Drosophila melanogaster: one gene and its partner. The protein of the gene in region 2 purifies or fractionates together with the protein of the main gene of each other region. This does not show direct contact. Each region holds a gene or a part of one and is shown on either strand. Other genes may lie near its edges. The genes, in order: Ufm1 and HDAC6.

Region 1 (6,576 bases), on a different chromosome or scaffold from region 2:
TGAAGGCGGAGGACGAGCTGGCGCGGGAGAAGTTGGAGTCGGCGGAGCAGCAAAAGCGGGGTGCCATCATCATAACGGACACTCCATCTGTGCCCAAGCTAACGCGAGCGAAAGCACGGGAACTGAACTGCACGCCTGGGATCTCGCTGCCCCAGCTCAATGAAACTTCCACCGACAATAATGGTATAGAGGCTCTAATACGTGAGGATTTGCACTCTGATGAGGAGGACGAGGAGTATACCTTCAAGGAGGAGGACTTTCATGTGAGTATAAACATTGAGGCCAATTGATCGTTGTTCAATAATTGTTATTATTCCTTTATTATCAGTCCGATGATGATCCTAACACTACAGCATCGGATTTCGACTCCAATCCCTGCACGCCTCAAACTCCTCTTACTGCCAATGAGGAATCTCCTATCAAATTCTCTGATGACGGTTGTTTCAAGGTGCCGTTGGACAGAAATTTTCAGGATAAAGAGGATCTTAGGATTGCCACTAGAACGCGCTCCAAATTTTGTTTGCAGCAAACTACCATTGAGGATTTGCAGTCGGAATTTGTCCCGCCGGACGTGGAGCCTAGCGATGTGGTGGAGAACGAAATGACCGCCAACGATGCGGATTGGATGCAGTTCCTCAATGACTTTACAAAGCCTTTAAGTATGTAGTATCAATGGATGCTTTTATGCTCTCCCTAACTTTAATATCTTACAGACAATACGGTCCAGGGCGACGATGATGATCCTATTAACGATCCAGAATATGTGGCCGCTGATCACTTGGAATCGGAATATGAGAACGCCGAGGAGCTGCGCGATGTAAATATATCTAAAAAAGAGTTAACTGACCTGGTCTCTGAGCTGTTTGCTGGTTTGCTGGAAGAAGGAGTCTCTCTGGAATCGATTGAATTGGAAACACCTCAAAAATTCGTTGAAAGTGCCAACGTTTCGATGATTCCCATTGATCAAGTGTCCCGTAACATCGATTTTGATGGCCAGCAGATAAATGCTAATCAGCAGGAGCTGTCCGTTTTTCAACCTAATCTAATGCCGCCTCCTTGCGAAGGGAACGAAATGGGCATGGGTGTGCCTGTCCCTGTGGCTGTGCTGCAGGAGGAAACTGGTGGATCCGCTTGCAATGTGGTAAACATACCTTCCGAGGCGCTGACTGTTCCCCCCGAACTAATAGCTGTTCCAATACCTGGGCAACCTAATTGCTTCCAAATCGCCAAAGTTGTAGGCAATGATTCAACTGTTGGTCTTCCATTAACTGAAGAGACACTGCAGAACTTTTCTAGCTTGCATCCAATGGAACCCCCCGTGGTAGCTGCAAGCAATGGAGATCGATATAAAAAACCATTTGATACGAACTTCACCTGGGAATACATCTCGGTTAGGAAACATATATATTCGGAGTATGAGGAAAAGTTTGAGAGCCTGCGAAACGTAGAGCCAGTAAACCTCAATCATCTCGCCAGGAGCAGGGGATTTACCCAGTCTCAGCATGATATGCTTCAGCAGCAGCTTCGCATTCACACGCAGTTGCTCAGTCAAAGCTATCTGCAAACCTACTCCCATCCTACGTTGTACCCCATGGCCAAGAAGCCCAGAGAAATGTTGGAAGAATTGCACAAAATGGCAACTAAAGATCCCAGTTTTAATTGCTGGAATCTGCAGGAGGCTGTTCAGCTGGTTAGAAAATGGGAACATGATCTGTCCAGTGATGAGTTTAAGGAGGAGAACGAGAAGATGATGGACTTCATCAATAAGGAAACGGATCTGACGTAAGTTGGTGAAACTTTAAACAAAACATGCTGCTGTACAACTTGTATTTACTATTTTAGTGATGGCCACACGCGCCAGGTTCCCAGGCTGGCGCCTCGTATTATGGATCTCATGCTGGATAGCCGGGTGTTTATGTATCCGCAGTACCTACCCCGTATGGCGTTTCAACCGAAACTGACTCAAACCACCGCTTACGCACCATCCGAATATCAGCTTATTGCCATTGGCCTAGAGAAGCACTTGGCATTAATGGTAAAAGCCAAGAGACAACTACGCAAAGGTGCAGATCCCATTCGCGTTGCCTGTAAGCGAATGATTAAGGATACGATTTGTGGAAAGACTGCCCGCCGAATTTTCTTGAAAATCGCGGAGCTACGCAACTCAAAACAGTACAATCCAGTGAAGTATTTCTTTGAACATCGTCGAGCACCGCCCGCTAACGCCATCCTTTGGGGATTCGCTGGTGGGCTGGTGAGAACTCCGCGGGAACGACACATGGAGCTTCCCAGTGGCTGGCAATACTACATTGAGGTAAGGAATACAATGGGTTATTATCGGATACATTGTTTAACATTTAATAAGCATCAAAAAGGGGGAAAATCTCAAAGGGTAAATAAGATGGGATTAGGAAAACTAGCTTAGTTGGTGGCCCACTCGATCTCTGGGTATGAGGCGCAGCTCGGATCCGTGCTTTAGGAACACATTACCAGCAGTCTGCTGTGGGCTGATGCCAATTCCATCGTCCGTGATGATGGCACTCGTCTCCGCCGGAACCTTGAACTCTTCAGAGGCGAATTTCAGCACAGCCGTAAAGGGAGTTCCCTCCGGAACACTAAGCACCTTAAAGGGCAGCTTGGGGTCCGAAGTTAGCGTGATTTTGAAGGTTACTTTGCTCATAGTGGAATGTGCAGACGTGGTCAGTTTTGATACTCTATGGGAATAAACGGGTTTCCGATGTTTTCCACAGGCAGAGTGTTTGAGCCCTGGTGGTTAAAGTTTAAACAAGTATAAATTAGTTGGTTTGAAAATAGTTTTAAGGGGTATTTTATTTAAAAACAATAAAATATGTTGACGCTCTTACTTTAGTGCGGTCAATATTACGATAGGCAAGGCAGCGAGTTATCGTCTGTGATGAGTAATATTTGCATAAATGTACCTATGTCCGTACCTAATTAGGAATACATGTTTAGAACTTTATTAATTTTTCTCTTAAATTTTAAGTAATATACTTGCTAGTGATTGTTGGCAGAATTATTTTACGAAATAAATCACTGGTCATCGGTGGCTAGGTACCATCGACCAAAGTTATCGATATCAATATACATAGCTTGTGCCATCGCTGTGTTTATAAATCGCGGACAATTTTCAATCTATTATTTTTCAGAAAACTTGGGATCAAAAGCGCACACGTCGCAATTTTAAAGCATCGAAAGCATCGTCGGTGGCTAGTGCTTCTTATTTGGAGTTTGTACGCGAGGCGGTCGGCGAGGACCTGCTGCTGCCAGAGACTTTTGGTCAGGCTGCGGTCCCCAATGGCAGTGCTGCTGGTTCGGAACCGCCCAAGGAGAGCAAACCGAAGAAAAGGCCAGCGCAAAGGAGACCCCGCCCTGCGGAAAACCCACCACAGCTTACCATCAATGTGAATTATGTTTTTGGCGGGAATACGAGCGCGGGAAACATACCCGGGGTCTCTGGGGTTTCGGTGCCCTTGGTGGCCGGCGGAAATCTGGCCGAGAACGTACTGAACATCAATCGCAGCTTATACACCGCCGCCGAGTGCAGTAGTCTGCTGGCCTTGCCGCCTGCTCCTCCACCATTGGATGAAAATGCTCCGCCAGCCATCAACTTCACAGTAGACAAGTTCACTAACACACTACAAATCTGCGAATTGGAGGAATCCAGCAAGGCCGTACAGCCGGATCTGTTGCCTGCGCAGGATACCCCTTCCGTCCCAGGCAGAAACGCCAAAAGGGCGCGATACCAAATCTTTAAGCCAAAGGTTCAATCCGCCAATAAATCGCGAAAAGGGTCAACACCAACCCGCAGTCGATACCATATATTGCGCGAACGTTTGCGCCATAAACTAAGCCAGCGCTGTCATTCCCTAATCACCACCTATGAATCCTACCTGCGTCATCACATCGAAAAATATAAAGACTGCGAGTTGGTACAGGTCGTGCACAATCGTTTTTTCGCCCTCGAACTGTACACTCAACTTCTGGTCGATCTGAGGATGTTCTGCAGCAATACAAACTCTAAAACGGCAGCGCAGCCAAAGAGATCTAGGAGTGATGATGAGGCGGCGAAGCTGAGAAGAGCCAACCGGCAGGAGGAGATGCTTCGCCAAATGCTCCAGCCGGATACTACAGAAGAGCGCAATCGCAAAGATGCCAGTAAGTTTTAGTTCAATCCCATTTAATGAAATTCAACTTGAATAATTTTATTATTTTGCACGTTCAGTTTTTGCCATGAATTTTTATGAAAAGGTAGAGGAGGCCTTGCTGAGTGCCAATCGCCTAGATGATTGCAAAAAATTCAACAGTATTTTGCAAAACTTCGACCCCAGGCAGGAGAAAGTTTCATCTTTGTATTTGGTATGTATCACTTAAGTGTCTTACTCTTATTGCATTCTAATTTTTTTTTGGGGTTCTTAGAAAGTGGAAGAAATTTTGCTACCCACTCATCCCGAACTGGCTGAAGTATTCCTCAACTTTTTGCTACCTGCCGAGGCCGCTGAGATGGGAAAATTCTTTGAGCACTTTATGATATGCAATGCTACCAACTTTATCAACAAACTTAACATTTACTTCAGTAAGCAGCCAGCTCAAATCAGGAAGATTTATGCCTGTCTAAACGAGTTGGCCGAAATGCCTAATGTCAGCATGAAAAAAGTTGAAAATAAGATAATGCCCTTGCTCAAGGGCAATCAATTTCTGATCGATTGGTTTGTGCAACAATTCCCACAGGGAAAACCACCAAAAAGGTAAGAATGGTAAACAAAATACTCGAGATTGATTTAATGTAACATTGTCTTTTATTTCCAGAATCCTTTCTCCTGTAGAGACCATAAATTTGCATGACGTTCAAAACAATACAACGGGAGAATATACGGAAACTATTCAAGAGTTTACAGATGTACCTACGCCAAGTAAACCAGGTTGTCACTTAAAGTATATCAATGGTCGCATATTTTATGGAGCCAAGATCCTATTGCCTGCCAAACTGTCTTTTATGGCTGCCAGTATTTACAATGAACAATCTCATGACGTGCCACCCGTCTCCAGTGACTCGATAAACTGCGCCCATGGTATTCGTGCCCAGGGAGAAAAACTTCTTAGTATGGCTTCCAATACAGATAGCGACGATGGCGCGGATCGGAGTGAGGAAGATGATGCCAGCCGCGCCTTGATTATTGATACCACGAGTGATGAGCAGAACAGCTGCTCATCTATTGAGATGTGCGATGAGACAGGCTTAAGAGCACATGCAATCAGATTGAATCCCGGCTTGTATACCAACTCAAGCTTTAACAATGCAGCGACCAGTACGCCCAATCTGGGCAACTCTCACCAATCCCATCATCCGCACGCCAAAAAAACTGCCATAAACTTTGGTGAAATATCCCCACGCAAGCAATCGGCATTTAACAACTCGGGATTGAGTCCCTTATCGGCGGCCCCCAACAGTTCCCCTCAAGTCGACAAACGAAAGTCACCTACTAAGAAGATCCGATCTCCTCTTAATCAAACTCAGAGCAGACAACGTGCCAATAATCAGCCAATGGTTGTTATCCATGAGTCTCAGCCTTCATCTTCGCCAGCCATTGAGTGTGCAAAGCGCTTGCGCACGCTGATCGATCAGGAGAGCGTGCGGGATGCAGCAGATACAAAGGCGGGCATTCGAATTATTGCGCAAGCCAAGCAGCAACCTCCAAACCAATGCAGCTCTGAAGCTATTACGAAAGTCGAGGTAGTCAGCCTGGATGAAAGTGCCGAGAATATGCCTTTCTGTACAAATCTCAAAATGGACACAGATCAATCGGAGGAGGAGCTGGAGCCACTGCAATTAAGTGCTGGCAACACACCACAGCACGTGATCACAACACAATTCGATAGCGATGAGGACTGCAAGCTGGATGTTGTGGCCACGCTGGCGAACTGCACCACCACCGAAGATAGATCGGAATCGGCAGCGGCATTACCTGCCACCACATCGCACTCTGAGTCTGGTAGTTCCCACTCGGCACCTTGGACTCGTGAAGAGGACAAAGTAATCCTGATCGAAATGAAAATAGGGGCACGGGATCGAGAGCAGCTCATTCGGCGTATGCGCGCCAAGCTAAAGAATCGCAGTATAGAAGAACTACGTAGTAGGCATCAGTTTCTTATGGACTTTCTGTCCAAATTGCAGGGAAAGTGAGGTTTCTCTAAGATGGTCTTTTGTGTATTATAATCCAAGCTGAAATAGGATACTAATAATAACTGTATATAAACGAAATGGTTTACCCCATACCTACAAACCAAACTTTTTGAAGGGAATTCTTTGTTGTACTGATTACCTATTTAAGCATACAAAAATTCCCTTCAGAATACTTAGTTTTATTATTAAAAATTTGAATATTTTGAAATCTACTGTACGTTGAAATTGACTATTAATAGATATATTGAAACCATGAATTTAATATTTTTGTGTCCGTCTAAGTTTACTTTTCTATATGATAAGAAGGTCGCATTGTTTGAATTTGATTATTCTATTCTATAGTTTTGGTTAACGAGCACATTGTTTTCCATTGT
Region 2 (18,976 bases):
ATAATTTTGAATCAAATTTAAAGCGCTAACGGTTCGGCGAAGTGATATCGATAACACGCGCGGCGTTGCCACCTCACGCCACACAATTTGACTTTTGCGCTAACGGAAGAGGAAGAGATCGCGAGAAACGACGCGTTTAAAAGAGACTGAAATTAATTCGAGAATCAAGGGAAATATATAACAATAAACGCCTGACAAAATGCTGAGATCGTCGGTGCCCGTGCAGCTGACAAAACTGCGAAATAGCGCCGAGGCCGTGGCGTCCATTGCCCGCGAAAAGGGATCCCAAGGTGGCCAAGGACAAAAGCAACAGGTGGACAAAGAGCTATCCACCATCATGGATGACTTGCAGCGGGATTACGGGAATTACAAGTACACGGTATACCGGTGCGCCAGTAAATTTGTGGCGCTGCAAAAGATATTTCACAGTGAGTCAGTCGCGTAGGTGGTCCATTCGAAGGAGTCCCCAAGGATTAACCTTCAAATTGCAGCTGGAAAAATCCCCTACAAGCTGGTTTTGGCCATTTTGGATCGCCATAACTTGAGTGGTGGCCTGGAACTGATGGTTCCTCCATTCCAGTTGACCTCCCTGCTGCACGATGTATACTTTGCCTGCGAGAAACTAGGCCATTTCAACCAGGATGCGAACTATAAACTGGACAGGGCAACCGGGCTGTTGGCCAACTTCTTCTGGAATGTCTACGATCCGTGGGTTGAGTTTCTGGCATCTTAAGAATATGTCTGATATTTGATTGGTTTCGCTAGGCAACGCAGACACTCCATATCCCTGTTAGAGATCAGGATCACCTTCATACTGCTGTGCAAGCTATATAGCAGCGATCACCTGGTGGGCGACATCTTTGGCCTGCTGGCCGATCCCAAGTCGCAGATCATCTCCAGATATGCATTCGAACAGCTCCTAGCCACGCTGAGCAAGTTACTCAGCTATTTGGGCGAGGCCAAGGCCTATGGCGTCCACAATCTTCCGTTGGCTATGGAGCAGTGCTTTGCCCGCTGTCCGCATGGCGTTGGTGGACTGACCGAGCCGCAGTTCCACAAACTCTGGACGGGAGCGGGTGTCCAGACGAGATTCCTGATCTATGGCAATCTGCTGGCACTGGTGAAACGCATCGAGGACACCGAGCATTTGATTCACAGTAATTCTTGTGCCGGCTGCCGCAAGGAGCACATTGTGGGCATACGTTTCCGGTGTCAGGTGTGTAGGGATATATCGTTGTGCCTGCCCTGCTTTGCAGTGGGCTTCGCTGGTGGTCGCCACGAGCCGGGTCATCGGATGTGCGAGGTCTTCGTGGAGGATCAGCCGCCATTGCGTTGGACCCGCCACCTGGCCAGGCTGTGCGGCTGGCTGGTGATGCCGCGCAAAACACAGGAGGAGGAGCGTCGCGGCTTCTGTAATGCGCAGGAGAGTGGGCCCGCCTTGGGTCAATCCGCTGCCACGCCCATTCCCGCAGAGACGCGCAGTGTGCGCAGTCAGTGCCAGGAGAAGGACCGCACAGTTGTCCTGCAGCAACAGCAGCAGGAGCTCTGCTCCCTGACGGGTCTAGCCAGCGAGGCGTCCAGCAGGCTGCAGTCCATCATCGATCGATTGCTTTTGCAAAATGCGTGGGTGTTTTCCCTTCTTTCGCCACACTTGTTAGCCAAGCCTTAAGGTTCTCTTGCATTTCAGGAAGCTGGAAACCCAGCTGCAAACAGTGGCCACCGCATCTAGTTCGGAAATATCGCAGTTTCTGAGCGCCCATCAGTGCTTTCTGCTGCAGATTATCGAGGATATGCGACAGCTATCAGTGAGTTTTCCAAACATTCGGCCCATTTAAGCTGAGCTAACTCCATTTATATACACTTGCAGCATGCCTCAGCGGTAACTTCGCCGCCACCTGCGCCAGCTGCCCAAGTGGCGCCTTCAGCTGCGCCCCTAGTCAGCTCCACGTTCCTTAGCTCCAGCACGCCTCAGCGACAGATGCTATTCGACATGTATGCGCCCGTGGGTGCCAATCTCACGCACTCCAGTAAGAAGAGAACCTTCAACAGAGCCATGAGACAGCTCCACTAAGTTAATCGTTTCTTGTAGTAAATGGCGCCGACTTGAATCGCAGCTATCTGGAGGCAAACAAATCGGATTACTCGCTCAACGACATAAGCTTGTGGTTCGACCAGCGTCGCTCGAGTGTCCAGCCAGGACAAGGACCTGGTTCCCTGCCGGCTCCTCTGCCGCTGCCCATGCCGCTGGGTGCTCTACTGGAACAGCAGCCGGCAAACGGCGGAGATGGCCGCGACACCGAGATGGTGAACTTTAAGCTGCTGCTGCACAAGGTCAAGGAGATCGTCGAGGACTCGTACAGCGATAATGCCGAACTGTCGGCGGCCACGCAAAATCTGGAGAACGTTCTCGATAGCATCATCAAGAGCGAGGAGCAGCAGCGGCGCATCAGCACGTGAGGATCCGGATCGGATACCAACTCCCATCGATTCCAGCCAGACCAAGTCCACTTAGCTTTAAGTTGTAAAGTTGTTCTAAAGTAATCGTGACAAAATGACACAACCGAGTCATGCATTTATTATATCCTTCTTCCTTTTCCCATGTGCTTTAACATTCGCGTAAATGCTTTAATTTGTAAACTTACAACTCTGACAAGAATGCAATACAACAAAATGTTTTTATAAAAATATACAATGCAAAAAACACATTGTTAACAAAGCATTTACATACAAAATATCAACTTTGTAGATTTTCCAATGCAAAGAGAAGAAAAAAAAAACGCATTTACGCCCCATTGTCATCATCATCATCGGTGAATAGCATAGAAGCCAACACATCGCTGGCCATTTGTGCCTTGTGGAGCTGCGTCAGCTGCTCCCGGCGCTGCTCCACACTGGCTGCCGGCTCACTCAAAACCTTCCAGGCGTCCATCTCCTCGAACAGACTGTTTAGCAACTCCATCTCCATGTCGGCAGGCGACATGTTGTGCTCAGCGACCTCTAGCACATTGAGGTTGCAGTGCAGCTGGAGGAGATCGCGCGTCAGGCGATGCAGTAGCAGACGCAATCGATCGTCCGTTCTGGCGTACACATGCCAATGCTTTCCGGGATCGTCGCGAAGCAGCAAGGTGTCACACCACTGTGACTGCGGCTGGCGATTGTAGAAAATACGCTGGACAGGATCGGCGGCGATGTTGGAAGACTGAAAGTGAGACCCAGGCTCACTGTCGTCCAGCAAGTCGGAAGCTGTAAGGGATTATGAGTTAAAAGGGACAACAAGTGGTCTTGACAAAGCTACTCACTCGGCTCCTTGTTTGCTTCCTGGGCTTGGATCAACTGAAACTGCAGCGTGGAGACGAGTAGCTGCTCGAATGTCGTGCAATCCTGGGCCGACTGGAACTCCAATTTCAGGGAGCAACGTGCCGTGTGCGTCATAATAACGGCCAAAAAGTCTTGGTGCAGCGTGGCGGGCGAAAATGTGGGTGCCAACGATTCTGTTTTATCGAGCAGTTTCTTCACATCGAAGGTAATGAGATGGATTTGCCTAGGGGATGCATCCTCGCCCATCTCGTACGTTGCCATCAATATGAGTTTCTCTGCCTCAAGAAGATCGACCAGACGCAGGCTCACTACCATCGCGGCAGATCGTTCCGGCGGTAGTATTCTTTCCTTCTCCACCGGTCGCCATTTGAGACGCCTGCTATGCTGATCCTGGCAGGCCCAAAACTGCGCCAGCTGGTCGTAGTCCTCGGGTGGTTGGCCATCCGCCTGCAGAGGCAGCTCGTACAGGCGGTGCTCCACGCTAAAGTCGGTGTGTGGTTCGATTACAACAATCGGATACAACTCCTTGACTATGGTGAGGCGATTGGTGCCAGTTATGTTGACTAGCAGAGTGCCACAAACAAAATAATCGCCGCAGATCCGAGTCCATACATCGCCGAGTCGTCGGAGCGGCTGCTTCTCCTCAAGGAGCAGCGAACGCTGGCCCGGCGTGCCGAAGTATAGAAGGTCTTGGACGTGGGCTAATTCCTTCTGGTTTTGCATTCGCTGGCTGTCGAGCTCGGCTTGGGCGCGGTGCACCTCCTGCAGCAGGTTCTCGAAATCCTTCGCGGGCAAGCCCGCATTTTTGGACGTGCTGGGCTCCTCATTTAAGAAATCCTCCTGGAAATCACAACGCTGACGCTTGCCATTGCCGAACTCCAGTTCCACAACGGCCTGGAAGGAAATGGGACCTTCGACCATCTGGTAGTCCACCACATCCTTGTGATCCGCCACCAGTTCGAAGTTGGCCCCGTGATCCTTGGGCCTCTTTAGGACGACGAGATGCTTCCAGCACTGAATTAACAGGTAGATGCCCTCCCGTTGCCACACAAACTTTCCAAATTTGAGGGGCAAATCCTCCGGCGGATCCAGCATGCTCCAGTCCACCTTTTCGTCAGTGGGTTCCTGCTTGGACAGAAAGGGACAAACCGGTCCGTCGTAGGCCTCCAGTTGGGTGGCTATTTGCTTTAGTTTCGTGACCTTCAAATCGATGTAGTGCACCAGATCCTTGCGCCGGAATTCGTAGAACTTTAGGTTTCTCGCTAAAACCAATGTAGTGGGGTCATCCCGCGGTCGGCCCACGTGAAGATTGGCGCAGAAGGCCAACCGGGCCGGCTGGAGCAGCATCTCCGGCACATTCTCCTGGACAAACGGCAGCATGGATGCGGAAGCCACAAGATGGATGTGGCGCCCTTGACTCGAAAGCCCTTCGAATCGATAGCTATTGAATTCAAGTAGTAGTTATCGATGCGGTGAACGATATTAGGCTATTTTGAAATGGAAAAACCAATATTAATCGAGTTTCGAATGCTCCTTTTAGCGAGAGGTAAGTCTTTAACACCGCATAAACACAATCAGTGTTGCCTAACCAATCTGTGCCCTCCACTTTCTCTCATAATCAAGCAATTTCTCATAAAAAACGCACATCGATAAGCTGATAACGTTGGCCCTCGACTAACACCGATTATTCAACAAGTTGTGTCAATCGGCGGAGCAGCTGATCGTTGTAAGTAGCAAGAAGAAGACGCCACACAAACATTGCACTCCGCTCCGCCCGCGCGTTCTCATTTCCCATCTCTCTCACTCTGTCTCTCGCGCTCACCGTCTCTCTCTCTCGCTCCGCCTCGCAACCCCCACAGCGCTCCACAAACCGGGCCCCACATTCTTGTGTGTGATTTCTGGTTCAGGTTCTGATTTCCCGCGTGTCCTTGTGTGTGTGCGCGCTGCAGTGTCTGTGTATCTGTTACTGTTGCTGCATCTTCTGCATCAACTGCAACGTTACCAAAAATCAAAAGACAATCGCCTGCAAAAGCTTAATTTTGTTGCTCAGTGTTTTAAGTATTAGCTGTTTGCAAGCAGCACACACACGTAAGAAACAACAAGAACAACGATAAAAGACAACAACACAAATGCAGAGCATTTGAAGCGCAAACACACACAAGCATTCGGTGCGGCTGTAAGAGCGAGACACAAAATAAGGCTAATTTATAAAAGAAAAGTGTGCTGCAAGGAATCGATAAATAACGGGAGTCGAGGAGCGGAATAGGAGTAACCAATAAATATAAATACTGTAAATGCGATATTAAAAAGCGACAACAACAACAAAAAGCAGCTGTGAATCACTCCGTCCCGCTCCCCCGCGCTTTCAGTCACTCCAGTTGCTCCACTTCCATATATATTCGGATTTGGACTCCGATTCGGATACGGATTTCGCTTGGTTCGATTCTGTTTTCTTCGGATCGGTTTAGCTTTGCTTGCCAACTCGAAATCCCACAAACATGGTGAGTACTGGCAGATTATTGCCGCCGTTTTCGAGTTGTTTTGGCCAAAAGCGGCAGTGGCAACCAAACAGCAACACCCACACACCACACACACACGTACAGTGCAAGCTTCTTGGCCAGGTTTTGAGCTCCTCCATCGCCGCAGTTCCAATCCGAACTTCGTGGTAAACAGTTGTCCGCTGAAAACGCAGTGCAGCCTCCGCGTGAAGAACGCTCTGAATATACGGTTTCAAAGTCCTAAGAGGTTGTTTATATGAGTCTAAGTACAGCTACAAGATATATTTAAGCTATGCTTTTCGAAACTATCGTGTAGTTGTTCCAAATACAGTGAAACCTCAATGTTCGGTTTTTGAAGTTAAAAAGAAATATAAACATATATTTGAAGTTTACAAACTGTACAGTATTAATTTGAGCAATAAACCCAACAGTCCAGATTTGAAGTTTTTTTGACATGTTTCAAATTTTTAATATTCTAGCATAGTGTAACGTAAAACATGATTAAATGTTTAGCAACAGCAAAAAAACTACATTTTTGCAAATAGTAAACAAAATTTTAAGCAGTTAACCGAAAAAGTTACAGACCATAGATGTTACGCGATATTTGGATACAGGTTTTAATCCAGATTAGTTGCAATCCAGATTCCTAAAGTCCTATGTCAATCGCCGTAATCTTCGATTGAAAAAGGCCGAGAGTTGCTTTTTTATGTGGTAACATTGGTAAAATCTTTCATGCCATTCCACATATGGTTGTTTGGAAAGGGTTAGGTAACTGGATTCTTGAGCACTTGTCTCACCCCAGTGGGCAATCAAATTCGCCTGTGGGAGCAGCACTGGCGATCCATCTGTGCATGAATCCCCGCCAGAAGCTGCGTTGTGTGTCTACCTAGCGGGAAATGCTTACTAAAGATTTAAATTCGTTTTCGCAGAGCCCGCCCATCGTCACGCGACGGAGTGCGCAGCAGGCAAAGATTCAGACACGGGCAATGGCCAGTAAATCGAAGACGGGCACGACAGGGGCGGCGACGGCGGCCGGCGGCACCGGCAGCAGCAGCGGCAGTATCAGCGGCGGATTTAATGCCGCCGATCCGCGAAAGTCGAACAAACCGAACGCAGCGCTCTTGGAGGCGAAACGTCGAGCTCGGAACAACATGCTCAAGAATCAGGGCTGCGGATCGCAGGAGAGCGTCACGGATATATTCCAGAATGTGAGTGCTATCTGACTGACCTCTATCCTCTGTCCTTGTGCAATCCTAACCAAGTGATATTTAATCGTCGCCGACGAAAAGGCTGTCAACAGCAAGAGTCTGGTGCGGAAACCAACGGCACTGATCTACGATGAGTCCATGAGCCAGCACTGTTGCCTGTGGGACAAGGAGCACTACGAGTGTCCCGAGCGCTTCACACGAGTCCTGGAACGGTGAGTATATTTGAAGAAAACGGTACAAATTAAGCTGATATGTATTCCCTAATCTCCTCATCCAGCTGTCGCGAACTAAATCTGACGGAGCGCTGCCTGGAGTTGCCCTCGAGATCGGCGACCAAGGATGAAATTCTGCGCCTGCACACAGAGGAGCACTTCGAGCGGCTGAAGGAGACGTCCGGGATTCGCGATGACGAGCGCATGGAGGAGCTGAGCTCCCGCTACGATTCAATTTACATTCATCCGGTGAGCAAGCGCATCCAACGGGGAACATGGAACAGTGCATCCCAGTGCCTGGCTCCAAATTAGCTCATTTTATTGTATTTGCACTTGATTGCTTGCGGAGATTGCGTTGTTTTTAATTCGACGGCTTGATAAATGCAAATTGGAGCAGATTAGATTAGATGCGACCCATTGCACAGGTACAGTGCGGTGCATAAATGTAAATGGTTGAGTGACTGGCATAAATTATGCAAATGATTATACCTCCGAACTTAAAATGCATTTATTCCCCGATTGTAATTCTAATATGTCTATTCTTGTTGTGATATTCATTATCTTTATATTGCGTGCAATCTTTATTTAGTTTGCTCAAACTTTAGTTATTAATTATTACGACTGCCCGCAGCTTTTATTACTTTATATTTCATTAGCTAAATCCTCCAGCAATCTGAAGCGCACTGTAAATTCGTTAAAATGGGCTGGTACTCATACTATTACATCCTAGATAAGATTCCCGCTGTTTTACTAGCACCGAACTTGTTATATATAGAACACTGATAACCTTATCCGCCTCCCACCCGCAGTCCACATTCGAGCTCTCCCTGCTGGCCAGCGGCTCCACCATCGAATTGGTGGACCATCTGGTCGCCGGAAAGGCGCAGAATGGCATGGCCATCATCCGGCCACCGGGTCACCATGCGATGAAGGCCGAGTACAACGGTTATTGCTTCTTCAACAACGTGGCACTGGCCACCCAGCACGCCCTCGATGTTCACAAGCTGCAGCGCATCCTGATCATCGACTACGATGTGCATCATGGGCAGGGAACCCAGCGGTTCTTCTACAACGATCCCAGGTAAAGTTGGCAATATATGTTTAGTATTCTCATTCATCGTGTGTGTGTTTCAGGGTGGTTTACTTCTCCATCCATCGCTTCGAGCACGGAAGCTTCTGGCCGCATCTGCACGAGTCGGATTACCACGCCATTGGATCGGGAGCGGGCACGGGATACAACTTCAATGTGCCGTTGAATGCGACGGGTATGACCAATGGCGATTACCTGGCCATTTTCCAGCAGCTGCTGCTGCCGGTGGCCCTGGAATTCCAGCCGGAGCTGATCATCGTTTCGGCTGGCTATGATGCGGCGCTGGGCTGTCCGGAGGGTGAGATGGAGGTGACGCCGGCCTGCTATCCGCACCTGCTGAATCCGCTGCTGCGACTGGCCGATGCCCGGGTGGCCGTCGTTCTGGAGGGCGGCTACTGCCTGGACTCGCTGGCCGAGGGTGCGGCCCTAACCCTGCGCTCCCTGCTCGGCGATCCTTGTCCGCCGCTGGTGGAGACAGTGCCACTGCCGCGTGCGGAACTCGCCCAGGCCCTGCTCAGCTGCATTGCCGTGCACCGACCCCACTGGCGATGTCTGCAGCTCCAGCAGACCTACGATTGCGTCGAATTGCAGGATCGGGATAAGGAAGAGGATCTGCACACGGTACTGCGCCATTGGATTGGTGGACCACCGCCTATGGATCGTTACCCTACGCGCGATACGGCCATTCCGCTGCCGCCGGAAAAGCTGACCAGCAATGCCGCTCGTCTGCAGGTGCTGCGCGCGGAGACGAAGCTATCGGTGCCGTCGTTTAAGGTGTGTTATGCCTACGATGCCCAAATGCTTCTGCACTGCAATCTCAATGATACGGGGCATCCGGAGCAGCCGTCGCGCATCCAGCACATCCACAAGATGCACGACGACTACGGTCTGCTGAAGCAGATGAAGCAACTGTCCCCCAGGGCGGCCACCACAGACGAGGTGTGCCTGGCCCACACTCGCGCCCATGTGAATACAGTGCGTCGATTGCTGGGCCGCGAGCCGAAGGAACTGCATGACGCTGCTGGGATCTACAACTCGGTGTATCTGCATCCGCGCACCTTCGATTGCGCCACCCTGGCCGCCGGTTTAGTGCTGCAGGCGGTGGACAGTGTGCTGCGTGGCGAGTCCCGCAGCGGCATCTGCAACGTCCGTCCGCCGGGCCATCATGCCGAGCAGGATCATCCGCACGGCTTCTGCATTTTCAACAATGTGGCCATTGCGGCGCAGTATGCCATTCGGGATTTCGGTCTGGAGCGTGTGCTGATCGTCGACTGGGACGTCCATCACGGCAATGGGACGCAGCACATTTTCGAGTCCAATCCCAAGGTGCTCTACATCAGCTTACATCGCTACGAGCACGGCTCCTTCTTCCCGAAGGGACCCGATGGCAATTTCGATGTGGTGGGCAAGGGAGCCGGCAGGGGCTTCAATGTGAACATACCCTGGAACAAGGTGGGTTTTTGCACACTTACGGGCCCAACTCATTCCACTCACTTTGCAGAAGGGCATGGGTGACCTGGAGTACGCACTGGCCTTCCAGCAGCTGATCATGCCCATTGCGTACGAGTTCAATCCGCAGCTGGTGTTGGTATCCGCCGGATTCGATGCTGCCATCGGCGATCCCTTGGGCGGATGCAAGGTGACGGCCGAGGGCTACGGCATGCTCACCCACTGGCTGTCGGCTTTGGCCAGCGGCCGGATAATCGTTTGCCTGGAAGGTGGCTACAATGTGAACTCCATTTCGTACGCGATGACCATGTGCACCAAGACGCTGCTGGGTGATCCCGTGCCGACGCCCCAGCTGGGAGCCACGGCGCTGCAGAAGCCACCAACGGTGGCCTTCCAGAGCTGTGTGGAATCGCTGCAGCAGTGCCTGCAGGTGCAGCGCAACCACTGGCGCTCGCTGGAGTTCGTCGGACGGCGGCTGCCGCGGGATCCCGTTGTGGGCGAGAACAACAACGAGGATTTTCTTACCGCCTCCTTGCGACACTTGAATATCTCAAATGACGATGCTACGGCTGCGGCGGGCGGACTCGCCGGCGATCGTCCCGACTGCGGCGATGAGCGGCCCAGCGGGAGCAAGCCCAAAGTCAAGGTAAAAACGCTCAGCGACTACTTGGCGGAGAACAAGGAGGTACGAGGACAGCACTGCGCTTATCCCTCAGCTGGCAACTAATCGCTTCTTTTCGTGCCTTTCTTCATCTCGATCCCATGCCCTGCAATCTCTGCCCCTCGATCCCGTTCCCGATCCCCATTCGCGTGTCAGGCCCTCGAGCAGAGTGAGATGTTCGCCGTGTATCCGCTCAAGACGTGTCCGCACTTGAGGCTCCTACGTCCGGAGGAGGCGCCCCGATGTAAGCCAATGCAGTCCGGAGAAGATTCCCTCCCCTTTTGGTCAAGATAATAGCACTTCTTAAGTGTGAACAAGTTGTCAAGAAAAATTCAGTTATTGAATCTCTTTGTATCTTTGTATTTGTATGCTGTGACCCATAAAAATAATTGGAAAAATGGTTTTATGACTCAAGTTAAGTCTTCAATAACGTATTTAACATTTTATATAAATGGGGAAGTTGTTTGAAATGCATATAGTGAAATACCCTATAAATCTGAAAAAATCGGGAAATACTTTACAGGAAGTGCTATTATTTTGACCAATTTTAAGGACTCTTCTTTCTTATAATGTTCATCGTTTTCTTTGCTTTTTGTGCTTAAAATTAGCAATTGGCTATTTTTCTAAATTACTTATAACTGCTTAATGGTTTATGTGCATATGGCATGCAATCTTTTTGTGCTTGGCGGCTGTTTTTTCTTTCAGTATCCTTGCGTTTATTGCATTTTTTGAAAAGGTTTTTTGCTTCAATCCTTACGTTTTAGCAATGTAACTTTGGGTTTTAACCAAAAATCTGCCGTGTGATTTGCTTTTATCTAACTTTATCTTAGTTTAAAACTTTAGAACATTTGATATATCGCCTGCATGTGAACAGCTTCTTGAGCTATACGCTACTCAATCCTGACACAACTAACATACTTTCTCAACGATTTCCCATCCAAATCAGCACTAGACAGCGGAGCGGAGTGCAGCGTTTGCGGATCGACGGGGGAGAACTGGGTGTGCCTGAGCTGCAGGCATGTGGCCTGCGGTCGCTATGTGAACGCCCACATGGAGCAGCATTCAGTGGAGGAGCAGCATCCGCTGGCGATGAGCACGGCTGACCTGTCTGTGTGGTGCTACGCGTGCTCCGCGTACGTGGACCATCCCCGCCTGTATGCCTACCTCAATCCGCTGCACGAGGACAAGTTCCAGGAACCGATGGCCTGGACACATGGGTGTGCGTGGCGCGAGGATGGCTGCTATGCGACGGGGCCCGATGGGCGAGATGAGGATGACGATGATGATAATGGCGCCGGTAGCAGCATTTGCCTGCGACTGGAGCGCAACAACTGACCCTTAGCCATCCGCGTGCTGGACGCCCTCACGGACTACTTGTGCGCGCTCTGCCCGCCACTAAGGCACCTAATCCATTTCCTGGCCGAGCACCTCTGGCCGCTGCTGGAGCGCATTTACCTTAACCTGTTGCACTACTTCCTGGCCCACTGAGCACCCCATATCCAATCCTCTAGCCCGCACCCACAACTGATCTGAAAACTGCTGCAACTGGCAGCCGGTCGGTCATCCCCTGGAGATCCTGGCACCAGTCACCATACCATTTATACAAATGCAAATTGTTAAAGTTATCAACTAATGATCTAATAAATAATTCAAGTGTTTTTTGAGTTTATTTTCGAATACAGTTTCTAGTTTCGTTAATGAGATCGAACTTCTTAAGTTCAGAGGTATTTATTCATAATTCTGTTCATCCCAGCCAAATCGACAGTTCATCCACGGTTTTATTTAATCTATATTTCTAGATTAACTCAATATTTGTTGAGTCATAACGTTGGCTACTAAAAATTACTTCTTTTTCTGCTGCTTTGCCTTCCCCTTAGAAGCTGGAGTGGGTTGCTGCTCGCGCTTCATTGGCTTCCTCTTCCGGTGGCCGTGATCACTGGAGACATCGCTGTCGCTGTCGGAGAAGTCGTCGTTCTCCTTGTCTTCCGATGAGTTGCTTTCTTCTGAGGATTCCTCGTCTTTCTTGTTCTTCTTCTTTTCCTTCTTCTTCTCGGCATCCAGTTTCTTATCCTGCTCGTACTCGATGGTCACGAATCCCCGAGGTGCTGCCGGCTTGGCACTTTGGTCAGACTCCACTTTCGCCTTTGGTTTCTCCTCCACTTTGGTGCGTTGTTCCACCGGTCGGACGTTGCCGAACTGGCGGAGATCCAGCAGGCCCAAGTCGGTGGGTCGGCAGTCCATGAAGCTGCGGGCAATCTCCTCCAGCTTGCGCGTTTCCATGTCGATCTTCCAGACTTTGATTTGACCAGCGCTGGAAAAGATAAATTTGTATATATAAAAACGAATAATGTGATGGGTGTTCTTAGTTATCTGGGTGTAGCTTGGATTTTTATAGAATAACTCACATGGAGACGGTGGCCAGGAATTCGTTCAGATAGGCGATGGCCTTGACCCTTACCTCGTGTGCAAGAATGAAGGTGGGCTGCAAAGAAAGCGCATTTAAGTATCATAGATAACAGGCTGAGAAAGTGCAATTCTTACTGGTGTATCATCCTCGTCCTTGAGGGAAATCCAGGCAATGTTGCCGTTGTCCAGGCCAGTTAAACACTCGTTCCCATCCAGCCAGGTGATGCAAATGGGTTTCGACGGCATCTCAATGCGACGCATAACATGGGCGTTCTCGATGCCCCAGATCTCCAGAACCAATGGACCGCTCAGTGTGAAGTGATCGCCCTGCTTGGACCACGACAAACAGCCCGTTTGGAAATCCAGCGTAGCCTTGTTCTTTAAATTGGTCTTGTGGGCGACGCAGCCATTGACCAGATTCCAGGTGTTCAGCACCTGGTCGCCGCCCAAAGATAAGGCCAACTTGCTGCTGGGATGGCAACTGACATGGGTGACGGCCTGGCCGGCATGGGCCTTCTGCCAATCATACTCTTTGGTCCAGCTGCCCACGCGTGTGGCGATCATATGGCCATCATCGCTCCCGGAGAGCAAGAGCGACAGGTCAGGCGTGAATTTCAGTGTGTTCACTCTTCCGGCGTGCGAGAGTATGATCTGCGACTGTTTCCGCGTGCGCATGTCGTAGACGAAGATCCTGCCGTCGGTACCGCCACTGGCCACCCAAGGCCACTGCACGGCCAGCGATGTAATGGATCTTGCATAGGAGCTGTCTGCAAAAGTCTGTTTCAGCTCGAATTTGACGGAATCGGTGAAGCCGTCAGTCGGCGATTTGATGAGCTTGAAGCCCAGCAGGAGCTCCTCGTTGGTGGCCTCTATGATCTCCATTTCCGGCGGCATGGCAGCGGTTTGAAATGAAAATGGAAATGGAAAATTAAATGGATTTGTCGAATAAGTCACTAAATTCTATTCAAGAATTTATTTCTGCTGTCAAAACGTGTTCCAGCGGCAAGGACTATTCGAAGTTAGAGGCGGAGAAACTTTTTACGCCAACATCGATGACATCGATGTTTTCGAAATATCAGAAACATCGATGTTTTTCTAGGAATGTTAAGAACAATTGCTGGAGGATGAAAAGGTTGTCACCAAATACTGCCTTTTTATTTAAAATATTAAAAAATAATCCTTAAATAAAAAAGATCAATGATCGAAAAAGATTAAAGATAAAAAAGATTGTTTATATTTTATAACAACATCTATGTTTTTCGCCAAAAACATCGAAACATATAAATAATTTGAAAAATGGTTTTATGTCTCATGTTATATATTCAATATCGTATTTACTATTTTATTTAAACGGGAAAGTTGTTTGAAATGCAAATAGTGAAATACCCTATAAATCTGAAAAAAATCAGGAAATACTTTACAGGAAGTGCTATTATTTTGACCAATTTGCTTAATGATTTATGTGCATTTAGTATCTTGTGTTTATTGAGTTTTTTGAAAAGTATTTTTATTGAATCCTTACTGAATTGAAATCCATGCGAAAATTACGTTTTAGCAATGTATCTTCGGGTTTTAACCAAAAATCTGCCGTGTGATTTGCTTTTATCTAACTTTATCTTAGTTCAAAACAGTAGAACATTTAATATATTACCAGCACCAGTCACCCTACCATTTACACAAATGCAAATTGTTTAACAATTTCAACTAATGATCTAATAATTAATTTAAGTGTTTTTTTTAGTTTTTTTTTTCAAAAACAGTTTCTAGTTTCGTTAATGAGATCGAACTTCTTAAGTTCAGAGGTATTTATTCATAATTCTGTTCATCCCAGCCAAATCGACAGTTCATCTATGGTTTTTTTATCTATATCTCTAGATTAACTCAATATTTATTGATAGTCATAACGTTAGCTACTAAAAACTACTTCTTTTTCTGCTGCTTTGCCTTCCCCTTGGAGGCTGGAGTGGGTTGCTGCTTGCGCTTCATTGGCTTCCTCTTCCGGTGGCCGTGATCACTGGAGACATCGCTGTCGCTGTCGGAGAAGTCGTCGCTCTCCTTTTCTTCCGATGAGTTGCTTTCTTCTGAGGATTCCTCGGCTTTCTGTTGCGCCTTCTTTGCCTGTATCTTGTTCTTCTTCCCCTTTCCCTTCTTCTTCTCGGCATCCAGATTCTTATCCTGCTCGTACTCGATGGTCACGAATCCCCGAGGTGCTGCAGGCTTGGCACTTTGGTCAGACTCCACTTTCGCCTTTGGTTTCTCCTCCACTTTAATGCGTTGTTCCACCGGTTGGACATTGCCGAACTGGCGGAGATCCAGCAGGCCCAAGTCGGTGGGTCGGCAGTCCATGAAGCTGCTGGCAATCTCCTCCAGCTTGCGCGTTTCCATGTCGATCTTCCAGACTTTGATTTCACCAGCGCTGGAAAAGATAAATTTGTATATATAAAAACGAATAATGTGATGGGTGTTCTTAGTTATCTGGGTGTAGCTTGGATTTTTATAGAATAACTCACCTGGAGACGGTGGCCAGTAATTCGTTCAGATAGGCGATGGCCTTGACCCTTGCCTCGTGTGCAAGAATGAAGGTGGGCTGCAAAGAAAGCGCATTTAAGTATCATAGATAACAGGCTGAGAAAGTGCAATTCTTACTGGTGTATCATCCTCGTCCTTGAGGGAAATCCAGGCAATGTTGCCGTTGTCCAGGCCAGTTAAACACTCGTTCCCATCCAGCCAGGTGATGCAAATGGGTTTCGCCGGCATCTCAATGCGACGCATAACATGAGCGTTCTCGATGCCCCAGATCTCCAGAACCAATGGACCGCTAAGTGTGAAGTGATCGCCCTGCTTGGACCACGACAAGCAGCCCGGTTGGAGACCCAGCGTAGCCTTGTTCTTTAAATTGGTCTTGTAGGCGACGCGGCCATTGACCAGATTCCAGGTGTTCAGCACCTGGTCGCCGCCCAAAGATAAGGCCAACTTGCTGCTGGGATGGCAACTGATGTGGGTGACGGCCTGTCCGGCATGGGCCTTCTGCCAATCACCCTCTTTGGTCCAGCTGCCCACGCGTGTGGCGATCATATGGCCATCGTCGCTCCCGGAGAGCAAGTGCGACAGGTCAGGTGTGAATTTCAGTGTGTTCACTCTTCCGGCGTGCGAGAGTATGATCTGCGACTGTTTCCGCGTGCGCATGTCGTAGACGAAGATCCTGTCGTCGGTACCGCCACTGGCCACCCAAGGCCACTGCACGGCCACCGATGTAATGGATCCTGCATGGGAGCTGTCTGCAAAAGTCTGTTTCAGCTCAAATTTGACGGAATCGGTCAAGCCGTCAGTCGGCGATTTGATGAGCTTGAAGCCCAGCAGGACCTCCTCGTAGGTGCCCACTATGATCTCCATTTCCGGCGGCATGGCAGCGGTTTGAAATGAAAATGGAAATGGAAAATTAAATGGATTTGTCGAATAAGTCACTAAATTCTATTCAAGAATTTGTTTCTGCTGGCAAAACGTGTTCCAACGACAACGACTATTCAAAGTTAGAGGCGGAAAAACATTTTAGGCCAACATCGATGTCTTCGAAATATCAGAAACATCGATGTTTTCGGTGAATCAGCGATGTTTTTTCATCTCTATTGCTCATCGGAGAATAAAAGCGTATAAATTGTAAGTATAAATTAATTTTTATATATTCTAATACAATTATTAATGGCGTATTGCAAATTTAATGTGACTTGTTGGCTGGCGTCGTGGCTGTATAAATGTATTAGTCTCGTTCACTTTTCCATTGAATTGCATTATTTGGTATGATTTCCAATATGTATGTTTATATATGTTTTCTAAGAACAATTACTGGACCAGCGAAAAATGGGAAGGTGGACACCAAACGCAGCATACTGCAATATTAAAAAAGAAAATTATCTTTTAATCCTTAAAATATCCTTAGATAAAAATAGATTAAAGATAAAAAAGATAGTTTATATTTTATAACAACAACGATGTTTCTCGCCAAAAACATCGAAAACATCGATGTTCGCCAACAGTCTGCTTGCAGTCACTAGCAGTGACGGACCGCACCGTAACAGAGCTGTTAATGCTGTAATCGATAACTTTGATTGGCACTTGTGCGATATCTGACGTTTAATAAGTAGTATTTTGTGATATGTTGCGAATGAAAATTCGCTAATATCTGTATAAAAACAATTGCATTCTACTGCGCGCCGTGTCCGGGTAACTAAGGGCAGTGGGAATCGCGCATAGCCAGCACCGACCGTCATTTGGAGGCGTTGCATCGTCAAACCGGCGAACAGAAATCCAAAGAAAGCGCCATGTCGAAAAGTTCCGGGTAAGTTTTGCCTCATCAAATTGTTTGAAAACAGATATACTAATTGCTTTATTTTCCCGCAAAAGGCGCGATCGAGACAGGGAGCGCGACCGGGAGAGAGAGAGGGAGCGCGACCGTGAGAGAGAGCGCGACAGGGATCGTGAGCGGGACAACCGGCACGACAGTCGCAGTCGCGACTATGATATGGGCAAGTCCAGGAACGGTGGAGGCGGCGGAGCCGGTGGTGGCTCCCGGAACATGCGCGAAGACCGGAAGCGCGGAAAGGACATGATCAGCGATCGTGGAAAACGCGACGATAAGCGGAGGAAGTGCTCCAGGTCAAAGGATTACGAGAAGGACAAGTGAGCATGCGTTTTTCTCTACAAAAATACTGCCTTCAATGTGTGTCTGTGATTGAATAGGTTAAAATACTTCAAAATGTCGAAGGTTAATGTTAACACATTTATAAATGATTGGGTTATGTGTGAAAACGTCACGTTTTCAACCATATGAGATCCAATTTGGTGTGTCTGCTTTTATTTGCTTAAAAGTTAAAATGGTTCCCAAATATTTAATTATCCTCATCCCAAACTTCCTTAGGGAATTTCATTTTAAACTGCTGAAAGATTCCATGTGGAATGGATTGAAAGAAGGCTAACTTGGACATGCATCCTCTAAAGACAAACTTTTTTTTAGTTCGCCCCACTACAGGCGTCTGGACAAGGATCGTGACCGTGATCGGGATCGCGATCGGCAGCGAGAGAAGGAACGAGAGCGCGAGAAGGAAAAGGAGCGCGAGAAGGAAAAGGAGCGCGAGCGGGACAAGGATCGGGAGCGAGATCGCCAGCGAGAAAAGGAATCCGATAGCAGACGAGCGGCCGCAGCTGCTCCGCTGATTATACCATTGCTCTCGACCAGCTGCTCCGAAGAGGAGGTGGAGGAGATCGACAAGGAGGAGCAGCAGCGTCGTCTGGAGCAAGAGATGATTAAGCGGCGCGAGCGAATCGAACGTTGGCGCGCGGAACGCAAGCGGGACACTAAGGCGGCTGTCGTGGCGCCGTCGCTGGTCAATTCCGCAAAGAAATGGAGTCTGGAGGACGAGTCTGAGGAGGACGACAGCAATCCCGCTCCGCCGCTGGACAGTGGGAAAAAGGACGCCGAACCGGACTCGCCGCCTTCAAAATTCCACAGCATACGCAAGCGCTTCGACGATGACGTGGTCGAGTCGAAGTTCTCGCCCGTTAAGCGTCCCACCTTTAGCAAATCATTTGGCAAATTGGGCATTGGCCTGGCCACCAAAGCCGAGGCGGATATCAAGAAGGAGCCACCGCCGGTGGACACCAAAAAGGAGATCAAAAAGAAGCCCGAACCAGTAGCGGCCAAAATGGAGATCGTTGAAGAGCCCACCGTCGCAGCAGGGGAGAAGACCAAGAAGGAGCCGGAACAGCCGCATGTGGGTGCTAAATCGGAGCCGGAAGTGGAAGACAAGCCGCAACCCGAAGCCGAGCCAGAAGACGAAATCGATCCACTGGATGCCTACATGCAGGAGGTCAACAACGAGATGCGGCGTGTGAACAATTTTGTCAATCCACCCGCCAAATCGCAGGGTGTCGTGATCCTCACGGGAGTGGCCAAAAAGAAGACGACGACGTTGAAGAAGGGCGAGGTGATAGAACAAAATATGGACAGCTTGGAGTACTCTAGCGAGGACGAACTGGAGGACATACGTGACACGGCCGTTAATCTGGCGATGAAGCACCGCAAGGAGCTGGCCAAGATTGATCATTCCTCGGTTACGTATGCGCCCTTCCGCAAGAAC

Evidence for each region.
Region 1: the proteins of HDAC6 (region 2) and Ufm1 purify together in Drosophila melanogaster (affinity purification with mass spectrometry, with the first as the bait; one large-scale study listed by BioGRID). This does not show direct contact.

The regions. Positions count from the first base shown.
Region 1 is NT_033778.4:16,948,342-16,954,917, reverse strand, and holds Ufm1 (Ubiquitin-fold modifier 1), read right to left. Parts: upstream 3,082-6,576; 5' UTR 2,865-3,081; intron 2,767-2,864; 5' UTR 2,681-2,766; coding exon 2,417-2,680; 3' UTR 2,337-2,416; downstream 1-2,336. Other genes in the region: mute (muscle wasted), read left to right, coding at 1-263, 329-659, 714-1,782, 1,843-2,314, 3,168-4,176, 4,244-4,377, 4,438-4,766, 4,828-6,202. UniProt on the Drosophila melanogaster protein: Ubiquitin-like modifier which can be covalently attached via an isopeptide bond to substrate proteins as a monomer or a lysine-linked polymer.
Region 2 is NC_004354.4:15,328,245-15,347,220, forward strand, and holds HDAC6 (histone deacetylase 6), read left to right. Parts: upstream 1-6,233; 5' UTR 6,234-6,406; coding exon of another isoform or gene 6,407-6,430; 5' UTR 6,431-6,712; coding exon 6,713-7,024; exon of another isoform or gene 7,025-7,105; coding exon 7,106-7,236; exon of another isoform or gene 7,237-7,301; coding exon 7,302-7,485; exon of another isoform or gene 7,486-7,727; intron 7,728-8,045; coding exon 8,046-8,317; intron 8,318-8,370; coding exon 8,371-9,778; intron 9,779-9,827; coding exon 9,828-10,460; intron 10,461-10,592; coding exon 10,593-10,680; coding exon of another isoform or gene 10,681-10,730; exon of another isoform or gene 10,731-10,848; intron 10,849-11,382; coding exon 11,383-11,771; coding exon of another isoform or gene 11,772-11,924; 3' UTR 11,925-12,116; downstream 12,117-18,976. Other genes in the region: dah (discontinuous actin hexagon), read left to right, coding at 200-428, 492-708, 766-1,623, 1,688-1,805, 1,868-2,027, 2,090-2,457; CG9114 (uncharacterized protein), read right to left, coding at 2,783-3,243, 3,300-4,698; CG9123 (uncharacterized protein), read right to left, coding at 12,279-12,747, 12,842-12,918, 12,978-13,736; CG12608 (uncharacterized protein), read right to left, coding at 14,763-15,258, 15,353-15,429, 15,489-16,247; Prp5 (pre-mRNA processing factor 5), read left to right, coding at 17,162-17,178, 17,244-17,519, 17,854-18,976.